7 linked regions of the Rattus norvegicus genome follow. The protein of the gene in region 1 purifies or fractionates together with the protein of each later gene. This does not show direct contact. Links are inferred from orthologs where the notes say so. Each region holds a gene or a part of one and is shown in the gene's direction. Other genes may lie near its edges. The genes, in order: Rc3h1, Cnot9, Ybx3, Cnot1, Nufip2, Serbp1 and Larp1.

Evidence for each region.
Region 2: the proteins of Rc3h1 (region 1) and Cnot9 purify together in Homo sapiens (affinity purification with mass spectrometry, with the first as the bait; 4 studies listed by BioGRID). This does not show direct contact. The link is inferred for Rattus norvegicus from reciprocal best matches to the Homo sapiens genes RC3H1 and CNOT9.
Region 3: the proteins of Rc3h1 (region 1) and Ybx3 purify together in Homo sapiens (affinity purification with mass spectrometry, with the first as the bait; 3 studies listed by BioGRID). This does not show direct contact. The link is inferred for Rattus norvegicus from reciprocal best matches to the Homo sapiens genes RC3H1 and YBX3.
Region 4: the proteins of Rc3h1 (region 1) and Cnot1 purify together in Homo sapiens (affinity purification with mass spectrometry; 5 studies listed by BioGRID, with this or other methods). This does not show direct contact. The link is inferred for Rattus norvegicus from reciprocal best matches to the Homo sapiens genes RC3H1 and CNOT1.
Region 5: the proteins of Rc3h1 (region 1) and Nufip2 purify together in Homo sapiens (affinity purification with mass spectrometry; 3 studies listed by BioGRID, with this or other methods). This does not show direct contact. The link is inferred for Rattus norvegicus from reciprocal best matches to the Homo sapiens genes RC3H1 and NUFIP2.
Region 6: the proteins of Rc3h1 (region 1) and Serbp1 purify together in Homo sapiens (affinity purification with mass spectrometry, with the first as the bait; 3 studies listed by BioGRID). This does not show direct contact. The link is inferred for Rattus norvegicus from reciprocal best matches to the Homo sapiens genes RC3H1 and SERBP1.
Region 7: the proteins of Rc3h1 (region 1) and Larp1 purify together in Homo sapiens (affinity purification with mass spectrometry, with the first as the bait; 3 studies listed by BioGRID). This does not show direct contact. The link is inferred for Rattus norvegicus from reciprocal best matches to the Homo sapiens genes RC3H1 and LARP1.

Annotation. Positions count from the first base shown.
Region 1 is NC_086031.1:75,762,418-75,766,439, forward strand, and holds part of Rc3h1 (roquin-1), read left to right. Parts: intron 1-993; coding exon 994-1,146; intron 1,147-3,517; coding exon 3,518-3,731; intron 3,732-4,022. UniProt on the Homo sapiens protein: Post-transcriptional repressor of mRNAs containing a conserved stem loop motif, called constitutive decay element (CDE), which is often located in the 3'-UTR, as in HMGXB3, ICOS, IER3, NFKBID, NFKBIZ, PPP1R10, TNF, TNFRSF4 and in many more mRNAs.
Region 2 is NC_086027.1:83,532,019-83,536,619, forward strand, and holds the start of Cnot9 (CCR4-NOT transcription complex subunit 9), read left to right. Parts: upstream 1-1,350; 5' UTR 1,351-1,767; coding exon 1,768-1,791; intron 1,792-4,601. UniProt on the Homo sapiens protein: Component of the CCR4-NOT complex which is one of the major cellular mRNA deadenylases and is linked to various cellular processes including bulk mRNA degradation, miRNA-mediated repression, translational repression during translational initiation and general transcription regulation.
Region 3 is NC_086022.1:166,881,553-166,886,156, reverse strand, and holds the start of Ybx3 (Y-box-binding protein 3), read left to right. Parts: upstream 1-1,665; 5' UTR 1,666-1,848; coding exon 1,849-2,086; intron 2,087-4,604. UniProt on the Homo sapiens protein: Binds to the GM-CSF promoter. Seems to act as a repressor. Also binds to full-length mRNA and to short RNA sequences containing the consensus site 5'-UCCAUCA-3'. May have a role in translation repression.
Region 4 is NC_086037.1:9,350,445-9,353,388, forward strand, and holds the end of Cnot1 (CCR4-NOT transcription complex subunit 1), read left to right. Parts: intron 1-679; coding exon 680-812; intron 813-1,551; coding exon 1,552-1,686; intron 1,687-1,836; coding exon 1,837-1,915; 3' UTR 1,916-2,192; downstream 2,193-2,944.
Region 5 is NC_086028.1:63,079,707-63,083,728, forward strand, and holds part of Nufip2 (nuclear FMR1 interacting protein 2), read left to right. Parts: coding exon 1-740; intron 741-4,022. UniProt on the Homo sapiens protein: Binds RNA.
Region 6 is NC_086022.1:97,734,066-97,738,087, forward strand, and holds part of Serbp1 (SERPINE1 mRNA-binding protein 1), read left to right. Parts: intron 1-1,133; coding exon 1,134-1,284; intron 1,285-1,807; coding exon 1,808-1,948; intron 1,949-2,059; coding exon 2,060-2,149; intron 2,150-2,949; coding exon of another isoform or gene 2,950-2,994; coding exon 2,995-3,069; intron 3,070-4,022. UniProt on the Homo sapiens protein: Ribosome-binding protein that promotes ribosome hibernation, a process during which ribosomes are stabilized in an inactive state and preserved from proteasomal degradation.
Region 7 is NC_086028.1:42,722,665-42,726,686, forward strand, and holds part of Larp1 (la-related protein 1), read left to right. Parts: intron 1-1,995; coding exon 1,996-2,057; intron 2,058-2,276; coding exon 2,277-2,342; intron 2,343-3,144; coding exon 3,145-3,319; intron 3,320-3,924; coding exon 3,925-4,022. UniProt on the Homo sapiens protein: RNA-binding protein that regulates the translation of specific target mRNA species downstream of the mTORC1 complex, in function of growth signals and nutrient availability.

The DNA of each region.
Region 1 (4,022 bases):
CTGTATGAAGGTAATCATAGTGTCTCTGTCTCTCAGTGCTGGGGTTAACGGCTTTCACCACCACACCTGGCTAGCTCCATATTTAAGCTTCTATTCTGAATTCTCATATATAATTCATACATTACAGGAGTCCATGACATAGAAATAATACTTTCTTCAAATTCCCATTTCCTATACCAACTAACAGTTTTGTTGTATTTCAACATTTTTATGTGTATGAACATGTTTGTTGGAGTAGAGCAGAGTTGTTTATTAGTTTTGTTTTGGGGATATCTATGTTGGTGTTAATTTATTCTTTTTTGTAGCTGCATAATATATAATATTCAGTGGAAGAGCTTACTTGCTAGGTATCAATATATTCTAAAAGTTAGCTGTTCTACATGAGCTAGAACTTTAAAATGTTAAAACACATTGTCCTCAGAATGGAATATTGTTATTGTATAACACAGAACTTTAGTCAAGAAGATAAAAATAAGGCATTTTGTTCTTTTACTTAATTGAATCAGTCTTGGCCCAGAATGTATTCAAGACAGGAAATACTGCTGTCGAAGAAGCACCAGCAAAGAATTGTTGCATTATACCTACCTCATAAAGCACGAGGTACGGAGAGTGCTCTCGTGTACTGGAGGAGTTACTGGAGCCTATTGAGGATAGCCCCGCCAGTGTACATACGGCGTGCTGCATATTTACTCTCGTGCTGACTTGACTTTACCTAAGGCAGTGGAAGAAAGAGTGAACAAACTTCTTAAGATCCTAGCTTGAATTATGAAAGGAGGTTGAAGTTATTTCTTTCTCTCTTTTTTTTTTAGCTGCCAATAACATATGAAGGCTAAAATAATCTTCACATTTTTCAGTCTATAAAAATATGTTCTGACACTTAATAATCAAGTAACTATCACTATATTGCTTTAATTTGATGTTCTAGACATTCCCCACTTTTTCTGTTTTGTTAACTCATAGACCCATTTCCTGTTTTTCCCCCTCTATCTATAGTTTTTGGATGAAGACTTGAAGGTAGCTGGAAAATACAAAGCAAATGATTATAGCCAATATTCTCCTTGGTCATGTGATACCATCGGCTCCTACATTGGAACCAAAGATGCAAAACCCAAAGATGTTGTGGCAGCAGGGAGTGTGGAAATGATGGTATGTGTAATGGCTAAGCATAATTAATAAAACCTAGATACATAAATTCTCATCTATTAAATTATAGGGACAACTAAGAAAGCTTTGCTTTTGTTTCATTTAAGTATAAAGTATATTATTTTCTTGACAAAGAATATTATATATTATTTTAGGTAGTAATTCCCAAGAGTTGTTCAGAACCCAAGTTAAATCACTTTCAGTATGTAATCCAAGGTTTGAGGATTGGAGAGATGGCTCGGTGTTGAAGAGAGCATATTGCTGTTGCAGAGGACCTGAGTTTTGTTCCCAGCTCTCATGTTGGGCAGTTCACAACCACCCGTAACTCTGGCTCCAGATGATCCACTGCTCTTCTGGTCTCCGTGGGCACCTACTCAGTGCATATACCCACATAGATGTACTACAAAGTCACATAATTAAAATAACTTGCCCATCAGTGGTACTTTAATAGACTTTAATACAAGCACCTGGGGCCAGAAGCAGCTGGAGCTTTGTGAGTTCAAGGTCAACCTGGTCTACATAGTGAGTTTTGGACAGCTGGGGATATGTGTGTGTGTTTCCGTATTTATGTATCAGTATTTTACATATTAATTGCCCCCTATAGCAATAAAACTTTGTAAAAGTAGTTAATCTCCCTAATCTTATTTTTGTCCCTCACTCCTCCCTGTCAATAAGTAACCTCTTCCCTGAGTTTAATTTTTATTGCTTAGACACACACACACACACACACACACACACACACACACACACACACACACACTGCACAATGTTGTGTTTTGTTTTGTTTTTTAGCAAAAACCCTACTGGGTTTTCCTGTGTTGTCCAGGATGACCTTGCATAAAGTCTCCCTCTTGTCTCATCCACGGGGTAGGTAGCTGAGGCTCTAGGCAAGTGCCACTGTACTCAGCTGCTACTCTTTCCTTTTGGAGAAAGCACCTCATTAAGTTTTGGGTTGGCTTTGAAATCACTGTGCATAGCACACGCTAATCTCAGGCTTGTGGTAGACTTGCCTTAGCCTGGCTAGTAGCTACAGTTACAGGTCACTGTTACTGATCTTTTAACATTATGTATAATTTTTCACTTCATTTTTTTAAAGACTTTTTTTTAGATTTGCTTATATTTATGTGTATGAGTGTTTTGCTCACATATATGTTAGTGTTTCATGAGCGTCTGTTGTCCAAAGAGCATTAGATTGATGTCCTGGAATTAGAATTAGGGATGGTTATGAGCTACCATGTGGGTGCTGGGATTCAAACCCGGTCCTTTGCAAGAAGAACAAGCTCTTTTAACTGCTGAGTTATCTCTCTAGCCCCTACGTAGAGTATTAAATGGACACTTTCTAGACTTTGTGCATATCCATGAAAGTTATGCTTAGACATGTATTCCTGGCCAAAAGCCAGCTTGAAATATATTTTAAAAAAAAAAAGCTGGATGTAGTGGTGCATACCTTTAGTCTCAGGATGGGAGAGGAGGTGGGGAGGTGGCGGGGTGCAGAGATGGTGGGGGATATAGTGAGGCTCTGTCTCCTAAGGAAGGGAGGGAGGGAGGGAAAGGAAGGAAGAAAAGAAAAGAAAAAAGAAGGAAAGTAAAAAGAAAGACAGACAGTGGTATTACTGGTTTGACAGGGATCACTTGACATCATTTTCCCTGTGAATCCCAAGAAGGTTCCCTGCTGATTTGTGTAGGTTTTCATAGATAATGTTTACCTAGCTTGTTCAAGATAAAACCAGTTCAAGTAGGTGACAGGCCAGTAAGAAAGAATAGTTAAATAAAAAAGCAAACCTGCAAGGGGACTGTGACAGAACAAGGTCCTGGGCTCAGTTCCCAGCATCAAATAAGGTGAAATTAAGTTGAAACAAAACTTGCAATGTCCTTCTTGAGCAAGGATGCCTCTATAACACAGGAAGTCTTTCACTAGACTAAGTTGAAATAGAATAGTAATGTAAGGTGCTTTCAAAAGGGTTGTCACACTGAAGTAACATTAGCAAAGTAAAATTAATTTCCTTAAATTGGAAAAAAATAACAAAATTACATGCCATTAAAAATTTTTCTAGATACGTGAAAGAAGCCTTAACCCAGTGCCTCTCAAGCATTGATATTTGAGCTAGACATAGAGGTCAGTGGTAAAGTGCTTGCCTGACAAGTTAATGTTGGTACATACTACTTAGGAATGGGTTGATCTATCATCTACTATCATCTGTCTGTACTTAAAGTAGGTCATATTCTTACTGTGATCTAAAACCAATGTTTTATATGACATCCAAAGATAACTAAAGAGTTATTCTTACTAATAAGAGCATCATGCTCTTATTAACTCCTTTACAGAGCTAGTGGAAATTATGCTAAACAACATGTCACTTCTGCTTTTTGTCAGAATGTAGAAAGTAAAGGAATGAGAGACCAGAGGTTGGATCTTCAGAGAAGAGCAGTGGAAACTAGTGATGATGACCTTATCCCATTTGGCGACCGACCAACGGTATCTCGATTTGGTGCCATCTCTCGAACATCCAAAACACTGTATCAGGGTGCTGGCCCAATGCAAGCTCTGGCACCTCAGGGAGCACCCACAAAATCTATTAACATTTCTGGTAAGAATCCTAGAGTGGTAATTATGATTCTCAGTGTAATTCTATTACTGCTTTTAAGACTCTTAAAGGCAATGATTTTTAAACTTTTCCCTGTAAGAAAGTAATTGCACCTTGGGCAATTTTGGGAGTATAAACTAAAATGAAGTCTTTATATATTAAGATTGCTTGAGGGGCTAGGGTATAGTTCAGTTGATAGAGTGTATGCCTAATATATATGAAACTCTGGATTCAATACCCCAAACCACATAAACCAGATATCATGTCACATGCCAGTAATCCTAGTACTGGAGA
Region 2 (4,601 bases), on another chromosome or scaffold:
AGATTGAGATGTTAAGCAGTCAGCTATTTGAATATGGAGCTGAAAATAAAAATCCTCAATTTATCAACATATAGTAGAATTTAAAGCTTGGAGAGCAAGAGAAGAGAACCCCAGTCCAAAACTAAATTATTTTACCGTGCCAAAATTTTTTTATCAAGACAACTGATTACATCTGTCCTTGGATTTTTCAGTCCCTCCTTTACCTTTTGCCAGTATGCAACACTATTCTTTTGGATATTCACCCACATATTAACATGACAAATCACAAACGTACCATACAAGCACAATAGTGTCTATCTGTCTGGTCCAGAATCCTCCTCTAATACCTAACCCAATAAATCCAAATGCCCTCTTAACAATTCCCTCTTAGATTAGCTCTTTCAACTATAGACGCATTAGATACCGTAACTCGCCAAAAGAAAATCTGAACACTACAGTACAACTTTCCAACGACACGGAACTTTATTACCAATTACTTTTCTATTTTTCGCCAGATCTTGATTTAAAATTGGTAAACTGGACATCGTCAGTGTCATGGCTAGATACGGGTAGCAACCAAAGCACGACAAAAATTACACTCCCTTTTAGCGAGTAATGTTTAAGGGGAGTAGAAAAGTAAAGAATGGTCAAGAGGGCGAGTGAGTACCGTATCCAAGGTCTTGATGAATATGTGGCAACAAAGTCACCTGTAAAGACAGCAGGCCCTGCAAGGAGGCAAGCTGAGACCACCTGAACCCTGGTGAAGAGGAGCCAGGTTTAGGATGCAGAAAGCAAGTGACAGTAAGGACTTCGTTAAAAGAGAAAGAAAGTAAAGAGGAAATACTCGAATGGGGGCACCTGTAGGCATAGGGAGAGTCCAAGGACCCGGGGCGGGCTGAGAAGCAGCCCGGCGAACTCTGAAGTGGACGCCGAGTGGGCGGACCGCACAGGGTGGGGGGGGGTGCCGAGGAAAACGGCTCAATTCAGAAGCTGTCCTGGCTCGCCTTACCTGTGCCAGAGGGTCCCAGCTCCGGACAAACATGCCGGAAGCATAAAGTTCCCGCGGAGGGGGAGGGGCCAAGAGGTTCGGAAGGAAAGAGCTCCCGTAGTCCCAGACAGCGAGGCCGGTCTCTCCCCTAGCACACCTAAACCCTCTGATGGCGGGAACTGTGACTAGACGCAAACACGTACGGACGCACGCACTCTCGACGCAACCAGTCCAGGCGCGTGCGCGTAAGCGCGCAAGTCCCGCCCCTCAAGCATTCGCTCCGCCCCATACTAAGCCCAGCCCCTAACCCGGGCGGCCCCGCCCCTGTCGTGACTGTACTGTAATACACATGCGTACTCTCCACTTTACCAACTTTGGACCTCCCACCATTTTCCTCTCGCTCAGCCTGCTTGAGCATGCGCAGTTTTTGTCCTTCCAAGACTGCTGGCCTTTTCCCGCCCTTCTCTGGCCTTAGGAGGAAAGTCAGAGTTCACGTTTCTTAGGGGATATACTTGCGATGCCGGGGGGATACGAGGACCAGTAGTTTGCAGACGTCATTTTGATCCTGAACCTGAAGGTTCAAGGGACATACTTTGGGACTATTTGTTAGGCCGAGGTCCAGGAGGCGGGAAAGGGCTGTGTGGGCGGAGGGTCGGAGGTGAGAGGTCAAAGGGCTGCGAAGAGGGAGGAGCGAGCCGGAGACGGATGGCGGCTCTTCATCTTCGGCTGCAGAGCCACTAAAGCTGGGACGCGGGTCCGGCGCGTCCAGCGGAAGAAGTAGAGCGGCCCCCGCTCCCAACATGCACAGCCTGGCAACGGCAGCGGTGAGTGGTTGCGCCCGGATGTCCGTCTCAGCCCATTTTCTAGTTCCCAGATTTGGGCCCCAAGTCTAGCTGCTTCTGCCCCTAGTCCCAAGGTCCGGGAGTCTCCACACGCAGACCGTGGCGGAGCCGGACCCCGCTATCCCCTCAAGACCCCTCTCCTGGCCTGGCGCGCGGCCTCTTGCGTTCTTTTCCGGCGCCGAGGCCTGGTCCCGCGCCCCGCGCTGCCTCAGCAGGCCATTCATTGATTCTTTTGCGCTCGGCGTCAGTTTCTGGTTGCCGGTTGTGTGCTGGGCGTCGGTGGAGATGAGGATAATTCCACGGCCATTCGCTCTGGTCCCGTGATCCCATTTCTCCTCGCCTAGGCAGATCTCAGTGATTAGAAATAGGCTTCTAGCTCAAGCCACTTTGCATGAGGAAAGCCAAAGACTATCTGACTTAAGGTTCTCTGCATTTAAAGCCTTCCTCGCACCTCTCGTTTTATCCTTCCAAGAAAAGCGAATCATGTATTACACTTCCCTAAAGTCATACTATGACTTTCGGTTAAATTTAGAGAAATTAGACTCCTTGACCTACAATTCCTGTATGATATGGTCCTTAGTCACGTTTATGGGCTTGATTTTTGTCACTTGCTCCCTAAGCTCGGACCAAAATGTATATGAACTTTTCTGTTGCATATTCTCTACCTGGATTGTATTTCTTAGGACTCTGACTCCATACATGGACACAAGTCTACTTCAGAGTGACTTTATCCGACCATCTTCATAGTAGCTTGTAACCCCAATATTTTCTCATAAAGAGCACTGATCCCAGTTTTAGTTACGGGATTTTTTATTTATTTTTACTTGTGGGTTGTCTCCTGGAAGTCAGGGGTAGGTATTTGGTGAGTCGTGTTTACTTGTTTTCACCACCACTGGGACAGTTCCTACTACAAGGTAAGCACTCAAATATTGCTGACCTGAATAGGTACTCCCACAACCGGAAGCAGCATAGTTTAAGAACACTTGCCAGTTTCACTTTCACCAAAGGGAAATGCTATCAGGAAAACAATCTACTAGGATTACATTATGAGACAACATGACGTAATGACTAAATAAAACATGAAAAACTACCTTAACTTCAAGTATAAAATGAAATATTTAGGACAGTCGTGCTTGGAAGGCAGAAGGCAAGTAAATTTGTGAATTTTGAGGCCAGCCTGGTCTATATGGAGAGTTCCAGACCAGCGTGCTAGCATAGTGATATCCTGACCAAAAAGAAAAGATAAACATTCTCCAGAGTGTGGTGGCAGCACATCTGTAATAATAGCTCAAACAAACAGACCACAAGTTCAAGATCAGCCTGGCAATTTTTTTAAATCTCAGAAAACATCTTTTTAAAAGATGGTTGGAGGGGCTGGAGAGATGACTCAGCGGTTAAGAGCACTGACAGCTCTTCCAGAGGACCTGAGTTCAAATCCCAGCAACCACATAGTGGCACACAGCCATCTGTAATGGGATCTGATGTCCATGTATCTGAAGACAGCTACAGTGTGTACTTATAATAAATCTTAAAAAAAAAAAAAGATGGTTGGAGATAGTAATTATAGCAGAATATTTGATCTAGCATTTGTGACATTCTGGGTTCAGTCTCCAGAGACTCCTCCCAAAAGTGAACAATCTGATTGGCATGACATGTTTTTAATCCCAGCACACAGGGAAGCAGAGGCAGGCAGATCTCTGCATTCAATGGCAGCTTGGTCTATGGAGCATTTTAGACCCAGTCTCAAAGGGGAAAAAAAAGTAAGCAACCCAGCTAAGTGTATGTAAGCGAGACCTATACAGAAACATTGCTTTAGGAACGAGTGAGATGGCTCAGTGAGTAAAGGGACCTGTTGCCAAGCCTGAGGACCTGAGTTAAATCCCCAAAACTCACAAGACACACAGACTAATACACATAAAAAATATTAACATGCCACTTTATGATGTTTATTTCTTCTTTTCAAAGCAAGTGATATTTTATATCCTGTTTCTAACTGTTCAAGTTCTGTTTTTTTAAAGGTTTATTTATTTTATGTGTACACTGTCTCTGTCTTCAGACACAGCAGAAGAGAGCGTCAGATGCCATTACAGATGGTTGTCAGCCACCATATGGTTGCTGGGAATTGAACTCAGGACCTCTGGAAGAGCAGTCAGTGCTCTTAACCGCTGAGCCATCTCTCTAGCCCCCTTGTTCAAGTTCTTAATTAGGGGACTATAGTTTTCATAGGGGGAGGTGTGCGTTTATATAAGCACAAATAAAGAATATATGTAAGCCACATACGAATTTCCTTCATTGCACAGCCTGATTGATAACTGATGGCCAGCTGTGTTGTGTTTTTCTGTAGTGGTTTTGCAGTTCTTAGAGGAAACGCTGAGCAATCTCAGCACAGTAAGATTTGTACAAAGGAACACTGCAAGCTTTCTAATGCTGTGGACCAGGAGTTTCCAGACGCCACTGGGCAGCCTATGCTTTGTTTTCTAGTTGTTCCTATGATTATGTTAGTCATGAGAATCTAGTCTTTTAATCTCCATACCTTTTGTCAATATCTCAAGGTTTGCGTTACCCTTAGTTTTGACATTGGTCTGATTGGTGCCCAAATGAAATTCCTGGTCCTCTTTTTGTCCTCACTTTGCCAAGGTCTAGGAGCAGCCATGAAGGGAGGCAGATGGCAGTCAACTGACAGGCAACAACTGGACAGAAGCCCCTAGCTTCTTTTGTTCCTTCTTCCCCAGTTACACATATGATTTGAGAAGCAGCAAGTTGAAAGGTGGCGTTGGCAGTAAGGGAGTTCC
Region 3 (4,604 bases), on another chromosome or scaffold:
AATATCTTAATGTCAGATGTCAGATGGTTGATCAGCATTTACGATGGGGGGGGGTGAAAGGGAATTTTAAAAGAAAACTTTCATTGCACCTGACACTGAAACCATGTATAACTTAGCCTCTTGTCACAGCACCTTTGGGAAACTTTCATAAAGGACTCTGGGACACTTAGTAGCTGGCCTATATTAATTTGGTTACTAAAGAGAGGCACTACTTTGAGCCCTAAGGGCGAAATGACCCTATATTCCAGATAGTCTTTGGTACGGGTCTCAATTCTTTGGCAAGAGTTAAACTTCACTCTGTAAAGGGTGTTTAGGGTGATGTGTGTCTTGTATGTCTCGTCCTAGAGACCAGGACTCCTCCTCCTCCTCCTCCTCCTCCTCCTCCTCCTCTTCTTCTTCTTCTTCTTCTTCTTCTTTTTTTTTCTTAAAAACGTTTTTTAAGCTGGGCAGAGCAGCATACAAGTTTAATCGCAGTACTAGTGGAGGAGGACAGAGGAGCGCAGAGAGGTAGGAGGATCTCTAAGAGGTTAGGCTGGCCTGCACAGGGGGTTCAAAGACAGTCAGGACTAACACCGCCACAGGTGGTGGTGCCAAATGCTGTTGCCATGACCCATGTATGGAGGTCAGGACAACTTGAGGGAGTCGATTATCTTCCTCCATCTGGTAGGTCCAGGGATGAAACTCAGGTGGTCAGGCTCCGAGACAAGCCTTTACCTGCTGAGACATCGTGCAGGTCCTACTCTCAGTTGCTCAAGCTTTCCCCCAGTTTAGAGTTAATTATAGCCAATTGTAGCAAAAGGTATAATGTGGATTTATTCCACTCTTTCAACGTAGGTTATTAAATACATATTAACAGCTTATTATTGGTTGCTTCTAACTGGTGTAAATCCTGCATTTGCAGAAATTCTGGAAGGTCTAGATTTTAATTTTCTCACTTGTGGAATCGCTAAATGGGGCCTTTTGATTTTTATAAGAGTTTTTGTTTTGTCTTGTTGGGGGCAGGGGTGAGGGCAGTGTTTCCCTGAGCGCACGCAGCTGTTTGGAGAGAATCTCTTGCAGCCTGCAAATTTCTTTGGCCCATGATGACCTTGAACTGATCCATGCCCTAGACTCAGGGCACTGTGCCTGCTAGGCAAGCACTGGATCCCCTAAGCTACATCTCCAACCCTTTGCTTGTTTCTGTGTTACTACCAGGAAGGAGGAGTAAAGTTGAGGCAGTCTCAGTAGCCCAAGCTAGGCCACTACTCACAGTGACATTCCAGTCTCAGTCTCTAAAGTACTAGTATTACCCCTGCCAGCCAACTTCAGTTCCCAGGTTATTCCAGTTCCTAATCTTAGCACCCAGAATACTTTCTGGTGTTTTCTGGATGCGCAAATGTAAAAGAGGGTTTTTGGTTTTGTTTTAAGGGGCCGCGTGGCTGCCCATTCCACCCCTCAAGAAGCAAACTCAAGTGGAAGATGTCTTGGGGAGGGGATATCTCCTCTGCTCCGCGTCAACCTCTCCACGGTGCCCACAACCCGGGACCCACCAGCTCCGAGAGCCCTAAGGAGTAGCGCAGGCGCCTTTAAATGCTAATGAGCAGCCGGGGCGGCTTTCCCCACCCTCTCTCCCCGCCCCGCGCCCGCCGGCCCGCCCGCCGCCCGCGAGCACTTGCGCGGGGCCATCTTCGGGGCCGGGAGACCCAGCGAGACCGCGAGCGCGCGCGTCCCCCGCCCTCGAGCCGCCGCCCGCCGCCGCGCCGCGCGATCCGCACCGGCCTCCCCGAGAGCGAGCCGGCCGCCGCGACCGCCACCGCGCTAACCGCCGCCAACCGCCACCGAGGTGCCCGGAGAGAGCGGAGAGGCGGCATGAGCGAGGCGGGCGAGGCCACCACCGGCGGCACCACGCTCCCGCAGGCCGCGGCCGACGCGCCCGCCGCGGCGCCCCCGGACCCCGCGCCTAAGAGCCCGGCGGCCAGCGGCGCGCCCCAGGCCCCGGCGCCCGCCGCGCTGCTCGCGGGGAGCCCCGGCGGAGACGCAGCCCCCGGGCCCGCCCCGGCCTCATCAGCCCCCGCGGGAAGCGAGGACGCGGAGAAGAAAGTTCTCGGTGAGTCCCTGGCTGCAGCCCGGGAGAGACGGCGGGCGAGGATGGACGTGGATGCAGGGCGGGCTGGGACACGTGGGCCAGGTCTGGGGAGCCTTTGCTGTGGGTCGGGAAAGCCGCACGTTTCCTCGCGGGGAGGATGGGACTCCGGAGAGGGACAGGAGGGGTGGTTTGGGAAGACTTTATTGTGTGGTGTATTTTTCCCCCCTTGGCCTGGTAGTGTCAGGTGTCTGTCCCCGACGCCCTTCCCTCGTGGGCTTGGGACAGCCGCCATGCTCCTGCGGGCCATATGCCGGCACAGAGATGTTGCAACGCCCGGAGAAACTTGGGGCGGGCACCCTCCTCCCCTTGTGTCCACAGATGCAAAGAGCCTTCCAGTATCCACCAATTGCTGCACATTTTCCTCTCCCGCACCGTGGGAACACACGTACAGGGCTGGGAAAAACTTAGTCGGGAGTAGGACGAGTGTCCAAAACATGGTTACCATACGACTTGTAACTGGAAGGGAAACGGGAAGGTGGGGACTGGAGATATTGGGGGATCGAGGGTTTGCAACGGTGGCTGTTGTATTTTGTCACATATTTGAGTGTCCTCATCTTCCTTAAGGAACGCCCGGTGTGAGGCCTTCCACAGGCTGGCCTAGCAGGTGGGTGGTGGATAAGCTCCCCGGAGGGTGTGTGCGTGCGCATGTGGTTCGCTATCCGAAACAGGAAAGTTAACAGATGGTGTAGGATGCTTCTGAAATGTTCACTGTTTCTGGGTGGGGCCGATTGGGCTCGCCTGCTCTCTGAGCTTCCTCCCCATTTAGCATGAAAGCTGAAGGAGTATTGTGGAAAAAAAATAGAACACCTTCAGTGTTCCCCACCCCCGACAATCCTTTGGTTTTTGTTTTCCTAAGGCTTTAAAAACTCAGTTCCTCCCAATTTTTTTTCCTCACCCACACGAAAAAGTTCCTTAAAGGTCTTGTGGGTGTTGCATTGTGGCACTTTCCACCAGATGCTCCTTGGACAACTTCCACACAAAATGGAAGATAGAACCCTGTGTTGCTAGCAGAAGCAGGTTCTTAATGATACCTTACCCGGGGCAGATGGAATCCTACAGGTTTTTACTTGATCCTTGAATTTCGAGATAAGAAAAGTTGATAATATCTTTGTAGATGGGGGCGTGGGGGTTGTAAACGAAGGTTAATTTCCTCAGTCTCCAGCAGTTTAGTTCTGTTTCTGCCAGATGCCTGGTGTTGAATCTGTTGTCTTTCATCCTGCCACTCAAAAGTCCAGACTCTCAAAATTAAGGGCAAGCCTCCACCTGACACTTTCGGCACTGTTTGTCTTTGTCCTCTGTGGTCTGCCATCTCCTGTGCCAAGCAGACACATGGATACCCAAAATGTTCTGGACTTAGTACTGACTGAAATGGATATCTTGGACGCTCTCACTCTGGTCTTTGCAAAGGGGCCTTTGGTTTATACCATGTGGTCCTTCAGGGAAAACAAGTTTTTCCACGTAAAAAGAACTGAATAGGCTTATTCTACCAACTAACCCCTTGCTGTGTACTTGAATATAGTATTAAAAATGTGAATGGATTTGTTTGGTTATATGAAGCTCATGGAAATATTTGTACAATTTGTATTTTAAAAAAAAATAACTTTGAGAAGTAAAGAAACACCAATGGTGAAAACAGACTTGAGAATCTTTCCCATCTTCCCCCTTCTGCTGTTAGCATTGCATTTCCCTCGCTTTGTGTATCTGTTTTTGGTTTTGCACTTTTATTTTTTTGAGATTGGCCTCATGAAGAAACCTAGGCTGGCCTACACTCACTCACTTTGTAGCAGATGATAACCTTTAACTCCTTGTTATCCTGCCCTCATCTCCCAAGGGGCAGGATTACAGGTGCACCACACTGGGCTTAGTGTTTTTATCAGTTTCTTTCACAACCTCCGTGTGTGTATCGGTATATATCTGTATCTATCCAGAATATTTAAAAGAAACACAAAAATCCTCTCATGTGGAATCTTGTTGTAGAGGCCATACTGTTTATCCATACCTGACTTCTTTATGTTGACATCCGAAATGTGAGTTTTTCTTTTTTCTCATTTGCTCTGCAGCTCACATTAGATTGGCTTTAAGCTAAATGCTGAGCAGTCCATCTAAGAAAGCTAAGAGGCTTGTGCAAGCCCATCTTTGTGCCCCACAGAACCACAGCATCTCCTCACAAGAGGCTGTAGATCTGGCTTGTCCACTCCTGAGCTTCTCCCTTCTAAATGTAGCCTTGCCAGGTTTTCTCTTTCACTGAGTGTTGATGACCGTCTGGTGCATTTCCTTGGTTTAGACCTCTCCATTTCCTGGAGACACTAAATATGACATTCACCATTGATCCCAGCAGTCATATTTGGAATCTACAACATTTAGATTCTTTTTCTTAATGAATTTTCAAGTGAGGCATTGTAGAAAAATTATCCTACCTATGACAGAGGGTGGAGATAGTAGGCCATTGACTGTAGCAAATGCCAGGGTTCCCTTCTCA
Region 4 (2,944 bases), on another chromosome or scaffold:
GCATGCGCAGATTCTGGATTTGATGCCCTCTCCCATTATTCTCCCACAAACCACTCCTTTTCACAGTATGAGGATCTTTAGGGACAAGGCTCTTGAAGTAAGGGCTCTGAGGTCAGGACTGTTTCTGTCAGGAAGACATTGCTTTTGTTTATTTCATGTGTACACAGCAATTTTTCAAGTACAAATGAAATAAAATGCTTTAAGTAGCTAGGTGTCGACAGTGCAGAACTGGCTTTCCGCTGCTGTGACGTGACAGGAAGTCTATAGAATGTAAAACAGTGACCCTCAAGAGTTTTTTTAAAAGAATGTAAGAAGGTTGGGGATTTGGCTCAGTGGTAGAGCTCTTGGGCAAGGCCCTGGGTTCGATCCCCAGCTCCGAAAAAAAGAATAGGGGGAAAAAAAAAAAGAATGTAAGAATTTTGCTGATTCATAGTATGGATTGCAAATAAAATCTACAGAAGCCAAAAAAAAAAAAAAAAAAAAAAAAAGTTGGTATCCAGAAAAGCACTAGTAAATCACAGAATTGGACTAACGTTCAGTTTGTATCCATCCTGGCCCAAGGCCCACCGTGCTAATGGTGTCTGCCTGATGGTATCAGTCTCCTTTAGAAACCAAAGCCTAAACTGACTCATTCTGGCCCGCAAGGGTAAGTCCTAAATCTAGTTTCCTTGACTTCCAGGCCGGTATCTCTTTTTAAACGCAATTGCAAACCAGCTGCGGTACCCAAACAGCCACACGCACTACTTCAGCTGCACCATGCTGTACCTTTTTGCCGAGGCGAACACTGAGGCAATCCAGGAACAGATCACAAGGTGAGAAAGATTTAGTGTATGGTGCCCTACAGGGGCTCTTCCCTCCTGCATTGTTTGTAGCCCTGGCTGTCTTGAAATTACTTTGCTCTGTAGACCAGGCTGGCTCAGACATTGCCTCCCTGTCTGCATTCTGAGTGGAGTCGTGTGCAGTCCCAGTTTTGCTGTCTTATTCTGAATCATGTCTGAGGAATTATAAACAAGCTGATGTTGACAGTAGTTGGCTTTGAAATGCTGGGTCTAGTTTACCATAAAAGCAACATTAGTTTCTTGGTGGTAGCAGTGACAATAACATTTTTTATCCAGAATCTTGTTGACATTTTGTGTACTTCTTTTTTTTCTAAGGTTTTAAGGGGAAACAGTAGGGTCATACTCTGTTTTGTTTAAACCATATAGGATTGGAGATGAGTGCACAATCTAATGGGGTGGGACTTCCTATTCTCCCAACGGAGTGCTCGTGGCCACGGTTCTTCCCTACACTGAGCTGTGCTTCTTGTGTGCTTGGGTGGCAATGTGCCGCTGGTTTGTAATTATGTCTGAAGCTTCAGCAGCAAATCTTTGCCACCAGGAAACAAGTATGAGAACAAAGAATTGATTCTAGCCAGCACTTGTCATGTAGGAAGGATCTCACCGATTCCTGTATGCTAAATTCTAAGTGGGTTCAGGGAAAGGGGCAAAGGAGGCACAGTTGTGAGGCATTTGCTTTTTATGTGTTAACTGACTCTTCTCTACCCCTTTTTAGGGTTCTCTTGGAACGGTTGATTGTAAATAGGCCGCATCCTTGGGGTCTTCTCATCACCTTCATTGAGCTGATTAAAAACCCAGCATTTAAGTTCTGGAACCATGAATTTGTACACTGTGCCCCAGAGATCGAAAAGTGAGTTAAAATGTTAATTACCAAGCAGGGAAACAGAAAAGAATGCTTCTAATTTGGGTCTGAGTTAGAGGGCAGTTGTAGCTGTCACATTGGAATCTCCAGGCCTGAAGCTTGTCGTGCCGTTAACACATGCTTGTCTCCCCTTCTCAGGCTGTTCCAGTCTGTTGCGCAGTGCTGCATGGGACAGAAGCAGGCTCAGCAAGTGATGGAGGGGACCGGTGCCAGTTAGATGAACTGTGTATATCCCTTGCAGAGGCATCAACCTTGGTCCCACTGAACCAAGTTCATAAACTGAAGAATCCTTTCAGCTCCTCCTGACTTTCCTAGCCCTTTGGTTCTCAGGCGTCTGCCCCAACAACTGCTGGGGTTGGTTCTCCTGTCTATGTGGGCAAGTTCCAAAGTTTAAATGCATTTTTTTTTTTGACTCTTGGCCAAAATTTAGAAGATGCTGTGAATATCATTTTGAACTTGTGTAAATATATGAAAGAGAAAACTTTTGTCTGGAACTTCTTGAGTTTGTGCAAAGTGTGTCTTAGATATGTGTGTAAAGGTAGTTGACGGCATGCTCTGGTCTTGGGGCACAGCAGCTTGTCTTCCCACTTCTGTGACATTCCAAAGAATAGCAAAACATTGAATTCATGCAGCTTTCTAAGTGTAGACTAGATAGGCTCTTTGATAGCCTGGGAACACAGGAAGACTCACAGTTGAGACCCAGGGAGCTCTGCTTGCCTTTGGAAAGGGTCCTAAGGGAGAGCATACCCGGAGAGGAAATCACCTCTGGTCTGGGGTTCTGCATCACCATGCCTAGGCTGGCGGTACAGCCTGGTAAATAACAGGTCATGTTGTCATGGATGACTGCTACGGCTGCTGCCTTTTGTAAGGATCAGGATTGAAAATGCTCCATGAACAGCTAGGCCCCTGTTAACATTTTGTAGCCTTTGTAGCTTCTGGGCCTTAATCAGCTTTCTTGTAAAGTCATGACATGCATAGGAGTCCACTGTGCCTTTCTCAGTAGCAGCAGCAGCCAGTGCTGGCGACAGAAGTGGACAGCCCAGTCAATAGGAAAGTAGTGACCAGATTTTCCGATTACTTGATCCTTTTGGACTTCTGCTACTATATAGTCCAGATTATCCATCTCTTGCCTCACTGGCAATATTACAGCCACCCCTAGCAAGGAAACTTTATATACCATTTCTGTGTCAACTGGAGGAAACAAGAAAATCTGTGTGGTTAAACTATATTTAAAAACTTCAGGTGT
Region 5 (4,022 bases), on another chromosome or scaffold:
TTTAGCAGGAACTGATGGAAGTATGTATCCATCTGCGGGTCAGCCACTGCTAACTACTGCTGCTAATACTTTAACACCCATCTCTACTGGGACTGATTCAGTTCTTCAGGACATGAGTCTGAGTTCAGCAGCTGTTGAACAAATTAAGTCTAGCCTTTTTATCTACCCTTCAAATATGCAAACAGTGCTGTTAAGTGCACAAGTAGATCTGCCCTCTCAGACAGATCAGCAAAACCTGGGAGATATATTCCAGAATCAGTGGGGTTTATCGTTTATAAATGAACCCAGTGCTGGCCCAGAGACTGTTATTGGAAAGTCATCAGATCATAAAGTGATGGAAGTGACATTTCAAGGAGAATATCCTGCCACTTTGGTTTCACAGGGTGCTGAAATAATTCCCTCAGGAACTGAGCATCCTGTGTTTCCCAAGGCTTATGAGCTGGAAAAACGGACTAGTCCTCAAGTTCTGGGTAACATTCTAAAACCTGGGACTACTGAGAGTGGAGCCTTATCCTTGGAACCCAGTCATATAGGTGACCTGCAAAAAGCAGACACCAGTAGTCAAGGTGCTTTAGTGTTTCTCTCAAAGGACTACGAAATAGAAAATCAAAATCCTCTGGCCTCTCCTACGAACACTTTGTTAGGCTCCGCCAAAGAACAGAGATACCAGAGAGGCCTAGAAAGGAATGATAGCTGGGGTTCTTTTGACCTGAGGGCTGCTATTGTATATCACACTAAAGGTAACTCTTATTTGTTTCTTTTTCAAAGATTCCAATGGGCTGATAAGTCCCTCCCCTCTCTATCCTGTGTGTGGGGGTGGGTGTGGGGGTGTGTGTGGGTGTGTGCGTGGGTGTGTGCGTGGGTGTGTGCGTATATTTGATACTCTATATTGGGAATACCTGGGTAAGAATTAGTATCATCAGTTAATTTGAGATTTTTGGAAATCATATTAAAGTTTAGAGGAATGTAATTTTCCAACATAAAATGATCAAGAAAAGCATAATTGGTCACATAATTAGAGGGGCTTCATGTTGCTTTAAAGATAATATTAATATTATTTTATATAGGGTCTCACAGGTTTTTTGTTTTTTTTTTTTTAATTTTTTATATGAGTACACTGTCGCTGTCTTCAGACACACCAGAAAGAGGGCACCGGATCCCATTACAGATGGTTGTGAGCCACCATGTGGTTGCTGGGAATTGAACTCAGGACCTCTGGAGGAGCAGTCAGTGCTCTTAATCACTGAGCCATTCTCTCAAGCCCCACAGCTTTGCTTTTTTTTTTTTTTTGGTTCTTTTTTTCGGAGCTGGGGACCGAACCCAGGGCCTTGCGCTTCCTAGGTAAGCGCTCTACCACTGAGCTAAATCCCCAGCCCCAAACTAGTATATCTGAATTCTTTGGTTCTTTCTTTTTTTTTTTTTTTCTTCTTCGGAGCTGGGGACCGAACCCAGGGCCTTGCGCTTCCTAGGCAAGCGCTCTACCACTGAGCTAAATCCCCAACCCCACTTTTTTTTTTTTTTTTTAAGTGATAGAGTCCAAGGTTTTATAAGCCAAATGGGCTTGAAATTCTGATCCTCTACAGGTGCTGCTGGGATTGCCTGTGTATGCCACCAACTTTGGCCACCCTCTCTTGTTTCTTAAAGTGTATACTCTATTAGCAAAGCATTTCATGGTTTTAATTGCTTATAATGAATTGGGCAGTAGTGTTCCTCCAAGTTTTGTTCCTTAACTACTAAGGCTTGAGCCTTGCTCTTTCCTTCTTTCTTTCTTTCTTTCTTTTTTTTTTTTTTTCCGGAGCTGGGGACCGAACCCAGGGCCTTGTGCTTGCTAGGCAAGCACTCTACCGCTGAGCTAAATCCCCAACCCTTGAGCCTTGCTCTTAAATACGTGCCAGGCAGGGAATTAAGAACTTTCCTGACATACCATGCAATGGTGGTGCAATCTATCAGCACTTGGGAGGCAGAGGCAGGATTTCTGAGTTGAGGACAGTATGGTCTACAGAGAAAGTTGTAGGATACCTAGGTTACACAGAGAAAAACCTGTCTTAAAAAAAAAATCACAAACCCATCAACCCCCACCTAAAGTAATCCTAACTCGAACAACAGAATTTTTTGGGACTTGTAGAGATAGCTTTTAGTAGGCAAAGGCACCAGCTTCCAAGCCTTAGACCTGAGTTGAGTTGAGTTCCAATTCCTGGTTCCCAGAGGTGGTCCTCTGACATTCAGTTTGCCATTGCAGATCCCTCACCTGGATAATTAAAGAAAAATGAAAACTTGCTGAATGCATAACTTTGTGGGGGAGGAATTGTGTGTAAACCTGTCTATCCAGGAACTGAGTTTGTAGACCAAGCTGGCCTAGAACTCATACCCACTTGCCTCTGCCTACTGAGTGCTGGGATTGAAGGCCATCCTCCATGACACTAAAAGAAAACAATTTTTATTTGCATCCTTTATGTCATTTCTACTCCTTGGGTATAAACATCTATTGCCTACTGCACATGCTAATTTGTTTTTAGAAACTATGTAGTCTTCCCTATCCTGGAACTACCTATGCTGACTAGGCTGGCCTTGAACTCAAATACATGTCTATCTCTTTCTTAGTGCTAGGATTAAAGGTGTATGCTACTTTTTAATTAAATACTGGTTTATTTTGGAGTGACTTTTCATCTGTAGGAAAGAGAGAGCCCATCAGATTATAGGGATGAAGATTTTTTTTTCTCTAGAATAAACTTGCCTTAGAGAATAACAAAGTTGTTTGTGACTTAAGATTTATTTATTATATATAAGTACACTGTAGCTGTCCTCAGACAGACACATCAGAAGAGAGCATCTGACCTCATTACAGACGGTTGTGAGCCACCATGTGCTTGCTGGGATTTGAACTCAGGACCTCTGAAAGAATAGTCCGTGCTTTTAACCACTGCCATCTTCCCAGCCTGACTTTTTTTTTTATTAAAAACTTATATACACTGTAGCTGTCTTCAGACACACCGGAAGAGGGCATAAGATCTCATTACAGATGGTTGTGAGTCACCACGTGGTTGCTGGGATTTGAACTCAGGACCTGTGGAAGAGCAGTCAGTGTTCTTTTTTTTTTTGGAGCTGGGGACTGAACCCAGGGCCTTGCGCTTGCTAGGCAAGTGCTCTACCACTGAGCTAAATCCCCAACCCCTCAGTCAGTGTTCTTAACCACTGATCCATCTCTCTAGCCCCCGACTTTTTTTTTTTTTTTTTTGGTTCTTTTTTTCGGAGCTGGGGACCGAACCCAGGGCCTTGCGCTTCCTAGGTAAGCGCTCTACCACTGAGCTAAATCCCCAGCCCCCGACTTTCTTTTTTATGTGTTTACATTTTGGCCTGCTTTTCTGTTCCCACCACACCAGTGCCTGTAGTTACAGATGGCTATGAGCCACAATGCAGGTGCTGGGAACCAAACTTGGAAGATCACAAGTATTCTTAACCACTGACATGAACTTTTGGGTGCTAAGGAGATATTGGGTATTCTGGAGGTGAAATTACAGGCAGTTGCAAACTGTTCAATGTTGATTCTGGGAATCTAATTTGGGTTCCACTGCAAGAGTAGAAGGTGCACCTAACTGTTGAGCCATACTAAGGTTAGCCTTTTATAAATTAAAAAAAAAAATGATACTTTCATACACAGTACTGTGACAGTATTTTCACATCACTCTCCTTTGGGGACTCATAATGCTGTGTCCCCAATTCACAACCTCTTTATTATTTTTACTCATATATACTTAGGCACACATGAGAATGTAGCATGCTTAAATCTTTTTTTTTTTTTTTTAAAGATTTATTTATTTTATGTATATGAATACACTGAGCTGTCTTCAGACACACCAGAAGAGGACATCAGAGATGGCTGTGAGCCACCATGTGGTTGCTGGGAATTGAACTCAGGACCTCTGGAAGAACAGTCAGTGCTCTTAACCACTGAGCCATCTCTCCAGCCCAGCATGCTTAAATCTTAAATGTTTAGGGATGGCTGTTTGGGATCGGGGTACTTT
Region 6 (4,022 bases), on another chromosome or scaffold:
TGTTCCATTTTCTTAGAATTAGTCACATTATTTAAGATTTTACAAAAACAGTTTCTCAGCTGATATTGTTTTTTGGACTGTCAACACCTATTAGAGCATATCTGAAGTGTTAGGCATGTGTTTAACTATCAACTTGTCCTTAAGACTACCAATAATTCAATTTATTTCAGTTGTTTTTTTTGTGAGTTTCCTATGTTGTCAGAAAAAAATTAAGGCAGAAAAATTAGTTAATGCTTTAAATATCAGTTAGTGCCATAAGTTTTCTATTTTCTTGTTTTGAGAGTGGGTTCTGTGGCTCAGGGCTGTGCATGTTACTGACACCCAGGTAATGAGCCACAGTTGCAGCCTCCTTAGAATGTAATTGCTAAAAGATCTTCCTGTGTCTGATTTGTGAAGATGCTTTGAAAATAGATATTTGTAAGAGCAGACTTAGAAAAAGACCAGCTATACTAATAATGAAGTTTCCTACTGATTACACAGTAGTATTAAAAAATTGGGAATGTGTATAGAGATATGTGTACATATACTTGGACTTTGAATGTTTTGGGTCTGAGAAAGGTGGGTTTTTTTTTTTAACTCCCACTGATTAAATAGCTCTGCTTATTTGGGATGGAGATGGGACATGGTTTCTCTGTAATCCAGATTGGCCTTGAGTTTTTAAACCTGCCTAGTGTTGATGTTGTAGTATAGCTGTCTTAAATTGTTTCTAGAACTCATAAGTGCCTTTTGTTTTCCTTTCAGAATTACAATTTTATAGAATCAAGAATTCTCTATTGGGTGAATTTCATTCTTCAGTGCAGCAAATTTAGTGAATATCCAGTGCTTGGTTATTTATGAATGGCTACTGGTATTAGCTTTGTATTAAAAGTTAAAAATATATCCCTTGATTGAACTATCTGTAAGTTTGACATTTTGTAGTAAGAAACTTTGACTTGGAAACTAAAGGAGTGATGGTACCTAGTGATTTGTGTCAGTTACAGAATGCTTGTAAATGAAGTTTGAGAGGTTTACTGTTGAATAAGAATATTCTAGTTTGTTAAATATACATAGATGATACAGATCAGCTCTACTAGTCTAGCCTCAACGTTTTGTATTATAAAGATGATTTGCTTATGTTGGTTATTTGTCATAAGGAATAAGGCGAGTTGGAAGAAGACCTGATCAACAACTTCAGGGTGATGGGAAAATAATTGATAGGAGACCAGAAAGGCGACCACCTCGTGAAAGAAGATTTGAAAAGCCACTTGAAGAAAAAGGTGAAGGAGGTGAATTTTCAGTTGATAGGTAAGCATTAAATAAGGTTTTCTTGCTTTATCACCCTATAGTTAGATCTTAATGTAAAGCTATGAGTTGGGCATACTGCTAGAGTAGTTGGAGTGATTACTTTGTGTATTTCAGAGAAATTAAATATGTGGTATATTTACATTTTCGACAACATATTTTAAGTTAGATTTCTTAATAGTATATTTTAATTAAGTCCGTATCGAGTTTTTCCTTCCTCTGTGCAGACCTTGAGTTTGAGGCGAGCTCCGTGTCACTGTAGTTTTGTGTATATAGGTCGGTAAGTAGCAGCGTGACCTGCAGTGAGTCAGTAAGTGAGTGTGTTCCAGCAGCAGTGCTTTAAACAGTAGCAAAGCAGCTTTTAATCCTCCCATATGTGAGTAGAAATTAACTTGGAATTTTCTATACCATATATTTACTTGTTCGGTTATGAGCCAGTGAGCATATTCTATATTTTCAAGCTTGGAGTGGATTTTTCCAGTTTCTGGAAACACTAGAGATAACAATTTTTTAATTTGCTTTGCAGACCGATCATCGAACGGCCTATCCGAGGCCGAGGTGGTCTTGGAAGGGGTCGAGGTGGCCGTGGCCGTGGAATGGGCCGAGGTGATGGATTTGATTCTCGTGGCAAGCGTGAATTTGATAGGCATAGTGGAAGTGATAGATCGTAAGTCTTATATTGATTGTTGTATGTATGAGATTTAAATGTGCATATTTAATAAAAACAAAATTTGAATTTCTAGAACTAAAGAGTATAATGTTAACTCAGTTTTGTTAGTTCTTTTTCACATTACAGTGGCCTGAAGCATGAGGACAAACGTGGAGGTAGCGGATCTCACAACTGGGGAACTGTCAAAGATGAATTAACGTTGGTATTCTGATTTTTCTTTTAAGATAAATAAAACAATTTCAATGAAACCAAAAGTGCTAGATTATCAGTAACTTAGATTTTGTTCCTGAAGCAAGAATGAATGTTTTGTCTTAAAGCTATATATAACCTTACGGTGCCTTTTTTTTTAAAAATATTTATTCATTTATTATATATAAGTACATTGTAGCTGTCTTCAGATACACCAGAAGAGGCATCAGATCCCATTATAGGTGGTTGTGAGCCACCATGTGGTTGCTGGGAATTGAACTCAGGACCTCTGGAAGAGAAGTCAGTGCTCTTAACCACTGAGCCATTTCTCCTGCCCCACCTTACAGTGTCTTATAGGATATGTTTATATTAGATGAGCAATTTTTTTATACTTAGGTATATTAATAGTTTTATTTTGATAAAGGATGTGTGTACAGTCCTGAAAGCCCCGTGATGAGGATGCTGGGAATATAGTTCTAACTGTAGCTGTTGTAGTCTTGTTCTTACAAAATTTGATAAGGCTTCTTCCTCTCTTGGTTTATTTTGGATTTTTTTTGAGATGGGTTTTCTGTAGTTGAGACTAGCCTTGAACTTGCTATGTAATTACAGCCTTCTACTGCTGTGTCTGACTTAGAAAGCCTTGTTTTAAAAGTGTGTAAGGTAATTTAATAATTTGTTTTCTCTTGGAGGTCTACTGGAGAGTAAAATTAGTAGAAAATATATAAAAATGTAAAAGTTTTTACTTTGGTATGAAAGAATTTTGGCTACATGTAAATGGACCTAGATGCCTTTCTTCTTTCTTTCCTTAGAGAGTCACCCAAATACATTCAGAAACAAATATCTTATAATTGCAGTGATTTGGAGCAATCAAATGTGACTGAGGAAACACCCGAAGGTGAAGAGCACCCAGTGGCAGACACTGAAAATAAGTAAGTGGTTTTGTGTCAGGAAGTAATAATCCAGCGTGGAAATAAGTCTGATAATTGTGCTGTTCCATATATTAAGGACTATATGTATTGTAAGTAAAGCCTTTTAGAGCTAATCATAAAGGGAAAGGAACAAAGCTTGCTGATAGGATCTGGTGATAACTGTTCTTACTCTGAATAGGTAGGATTATTAACTGAACCAAGTTTTGGTGTAAGAGGTATTTGTAGTGTTTAGTTAGTCATAGTTCAAAGTAATCTCAACATTTAGTTATATATACTAAAACTAGACAACTTGAAAAGACTTGGTAAATTAGGTCCAATTTAAGTTTTTTTATTAATATGAATTTTGAGCAGCAAATTATTTGAAACTAAAAAGCAACGAGAATGTTTTAGCTCATTAGCATTCTTAAAATTTCATGTGTCTGAGTGTTGGCCTGCATGTGTGTTAAGTACACTGCATTCATGCAGCATCTATGAGGCCAGTAGAGGGTGTTGTGCTCCCTGGATAGTCTAGTGCTACAGTAAACAACGGGATATTAGGTGTATTTTTGGCACACTGATTTTATGCTGTGGAACTCAATCTACTGTGTTATGACTTGAGCATTGTGGTCTTGAAATCAGAGTAGCTGCCGCTAAACATTGGTTCTAGTGAAGCTTGCCAGGTGGTCTAAGGACGACCCCTATCTTCTCTGAATATGTGTAAGCCATTAATGATTGCTACTGTAAATAAACCCTTACCCATACTCCTATAAATAACTAGTGAAACTCATTGGCCCACCAGGCAACTAGAATAATTTCTTTTTGTATGTGCTTAATCTGGGGTAATAAATACATGTTGATTCATGCTGGTGAAATTGTCAGGTCTGTTTCTAGGTTTTTATTCTTTTAAGAGTCTTTGATTTCCATTGTGGTTGTTTGAATGTACATTTGTGATACGATTTGGAGTATTTTCTGTG
Region 7 (4,022 bases), on another chromosome or scaffold:
AAATAGCTTTAAAAGGCTTTATTATGTTTGTTTATTTTGTTTGTTTTTTGGGGGGAGCACCAGGGCATGCTTGTGGAAATCCGAGGACAGCTTGTGAGAGTTGATTCTCCATTTCCTGGCGAGGCAAGGTATATTTTACTCAGACCAAGAGACTTGAAAAGACCAGTGTCTGGAAACTTTTGCCCTCTTTTCAGAGATGATTTTCGGTATACCTTACTTCCAGTCCTTGTGCATAGAATTCTTTCTTTCTTTCTTTCTTTTTTTTTCCAGAGCTGGGGACCGAACCCAGGGCCTTGCGGTTGCTAGGCAAGTGCTCTACCACTGAGCCAAATCCCCAGCGTGCATACAATTCTTGTTGTAAACTTTGTCACTAGCTTTGGGGCTTGCTTTCCTGCTAGCATGTACCAATGCTGTTGAGCACATGAAGAAATGACTCCAGTTGTAGCTCAGGTGGGCGGCCACTGTCCAGGCCCTGGGCTGAATTGGATGAAGATCTGTTTAGTTGTTAGATGGTCGGTATATCCCTGGGTGTCCTGGAACTTACTTTGTAGATTAGGCTGTCCTCAGATTTCCAGAGATCCTTTGTCTCTGCCACCTGAGTGCTGGCATTAAAGGCATCTACTACCACACTTGCTCGGCTCGTGTGAGGAGCTTTAGACCAGTCAAGGAACTACTAAATGTTCAATGGCTTATCTGGGTCAACCTGGGGTCAAAGGACAGTGGTTTTCTTGCACCTGAGATTTTCTAGTTTTCTGCTTCTCAGCCCTGGAGGTTGCTGTGGGCTCAACAACTCCAGCTATCAGAAGACTTATGTCCACCATTAGGGGACAGTGGCTCCAGTAACCGGCCAGAAGCCAGGAATGAATTGGCTTCACCCTTAGGAACTGGGCAAGGACACTTTCTTCTCATTAAAGGACATAGTCTGTTGAAAAACCTTGTGAGGCCAGCCAGCCAGGTTTCTGTGCTTGGAGGCTAGGGTAGTTCCTGACCTGACATGGCAGAGGAGGGAAGTACAAGCTAAAGTGAGTGAGCAGAATCTCAGGTTGTGTTTCTTCCCGTGGATCTCTAGAGGCAGGAGGGACAAGACACCCTTGGTTTTCAGGACCAAACTAACCAGAGCCACTTCTTCTAGACTTGCGTACTCTGTTCCTTAAAAGCCATCTTCGTCTTTGTAGAAAAGTTAAATATATGCCCCACAGATGCATGATTACATACACGCTCCTCTGTTCTATAGAAAACAGATGAAGTCATCATCTTCTATGTGTCTATCTCCACATAACCAAAGACCAGTATATTCTAATGGCTATTGTGAAAGTGGATGAATTGAAATTCGGTGATTTTAGTACTGTTGGAGTTGAAATTGTGTATAGCTCTTGTCTCACTTGTATTATTGGGGTTCAATCTAAAAGATGAAACTGGCCAGGTATGGTGGCATGCTTGGGAGGCAAAGGATGTGTCGGGGGGAGATCTCTATGAGTTCAGCAGTCTGATCTGCTGACAAGTTCCAAGCCAGTCAGGGCTACACTGGGAAATGTTGTCTCACAAAATTGAACTTTAGAGTCAAATCGGAGTATGCCTTTTCTTTAGGAACAGAAAAGGTAGTTCTTACTTCAACTACATGTCAGCGAGGACACAGCAGGCCTTGGTATGGCCCTGGACGTGTCCATTCACATGTTTAGCTTTATTTTCTTTGGGCTTGCAGAAGTATACAGAAGACTCAATCTCCTTACAGGTTTTGCCTATAGATTTGGAGCTCTGAGTTACAGTGTAGACTTGGTTATGGACCTTGAGACTCAGTTGATAACTCATAAAAAATACAGACTTAGACTCTAAGGGTTTTCCCACTTCAGTGTTGAGCAGCTTGGTGGCTAGGCTGCCAGTTTATATTGTTGCCCTTTCTGCTGTGGCTCCTTTGGGAACCTGTAGGTGCATGGTGGGATGGGCATGGTAATGACATAGGCTCTGACAGCTGATTCTTTCTCTTTGTTCCCACAGAACCTTCTGCTCCGGCCAAGGTGGTGAGGGCAGCTGCTCCCAAACAGCGTAAGGGCAGCAAGGTAAAGACCGGGGAGTGTCCCTGTGGGCGCTCATTATTCTTGTTCTCATAAGCACTTCGGGCCCTTCTCTAAGAGCATGGAAGCCTTTATGGGTGCCATTGCATGGTGTCTGAGTGCACACACTGTTGTGTCCCTATCTCTAAAAAGAGCTAGAGCTTGGGTGTGGAGCAAAATGGCAGGCAGAGTAACCCCAAGGCCTTCATAGACGATACCTTGCAGGTTGGTGACTTTGGAGATGCAATCAACTGGCCTACACCTGGAGAAATAGCCCACAAAAGTGTGCAGGTGAGTGAGGAGGGGTTGGCAGGTTCAAGTACTCTTCATACTGACTTAGTTGGTTTTTGACCAAGAGCCATAAACACCACCTTTCTTGATTTTTGAAAAGGAGTGGTCGGTGAGCACAATAGTATGTATACTTCTGAAATCCCAGCTACTCAAAAGGATAAAGAAGGATGACTATACTCAGTCCAAGAGTTCAAGGCCATCCTTTGAGACATAGGACTCCCAACCCCCTTCAATTCTCAACAAATGAAGAGTAGTTATTTAAGATGGACAGGAATGAAATAATTAGGAATTACCATCATGTGAGCCTTTGCCTGGTTTCAGGGGTGCCAGGCACTGTTCTTTTTTGCCTTCCAGTGGTGGCTCAGCGGGTTTAGGAAACAACTGTGTTACAGTTTTCCAAAGCCCATATTTTTCCATTACTGAGCCACATTTTTCTATGAGTAATTGAAAAAAGAGGTATCAGTTGAGGCACTGACTCCAGTTTGGGGAGGTATACTTAGCTCCCCTAGATTCTAGCAGAAGAGACTCTTTCTTGGTCAGTTCAGTTCCACTCATCACTTTTGTTCTGAGCTAGTGACTGCCCCAGTGGGTCCCTTATGGTAGAGGTTTTGGTACAGACAGGCCAGCATCTTTTCTATCCCACAGATTTGGGTAGCTAGAACAATCAGTTGTTCTTCCATAGCTGGTATGGTCGTGTTTTGTAGTGGTGTTGTCTGAGTATGAAAGCTAGACCTTAGGATGTATCTAGTGTAGCCTGTCCTTATACTTCCCCAGTGACCACATGTTTCCTTGCCTCTTGTAGCCACAGTCCCACAAGCCTCAGCCTGCCCGTAAGCTGCCACCCAAGAAGGACATGAAGGAGCAGGAGAAAGGAGATGGAAGTGATAGTAAGGAGAGCCCAAAAACAAAGTCGGATGAATCGGGGGAGGAAAAGAATGGGGATGAGGACTGCCAGCGAGGCGGGCAGAAGAAGAAAGGTAAGTGGCTTGGCCAGGACCCGGGAGGTGTACCTTTCAGAACTTTGAAATGACATAAGCCTGACCTGCTGGAGGAACTTCAGGCCAGGGGGTGACTGACTGCTTGGAGCAGCTTTTGCTCAGCCTTAGTGCATCTTCTCTTATACGGGCTTTTATATTGCTCTAAGAGTTTCTTAAACCTGTTGAAATGATACAGGCTTGACTGCTTTCTCTCCGAGACCTATTCTGTGTCTGCAGGCCAGGCTTGAGGTGGCAACTCTTAACTCATTAAGCACAGCAGCCTCTCCATCCAAGGTGGCTCCCTTGTTCCTGCTCACTCCACCTAGAATGGCCCCACAAGGTTGTCACAGGCAGTGATGTGTCACATGTGTGAAGGGAGCCTAGAAAGTTAGTTTTTATTCAGGTTTCCAGAAAGTGATTCTTACATCTGGAACCTCTGATCTCCTTATTTTAGAGATTTATAACAACAAAAAAGAGGTCTGGTGTTTGAAAAGGACATGCCTATGGCTACCAGATGGGTAGTTGAACTAGAATTTAGGGGGAAGGAAAAAGCCATGTCTGAGGGGCCTGCCATGCCTCTCTGACATGCTTATGCCGTCCCTCAGGGAACAAACACAAGTGGGTTCCGTTGCAAATAGACATGAAGCCTGAAGTACCCAGAGAGAAATTGGCCTCACGTCCCACTCGCCCACAGGAACCAAGA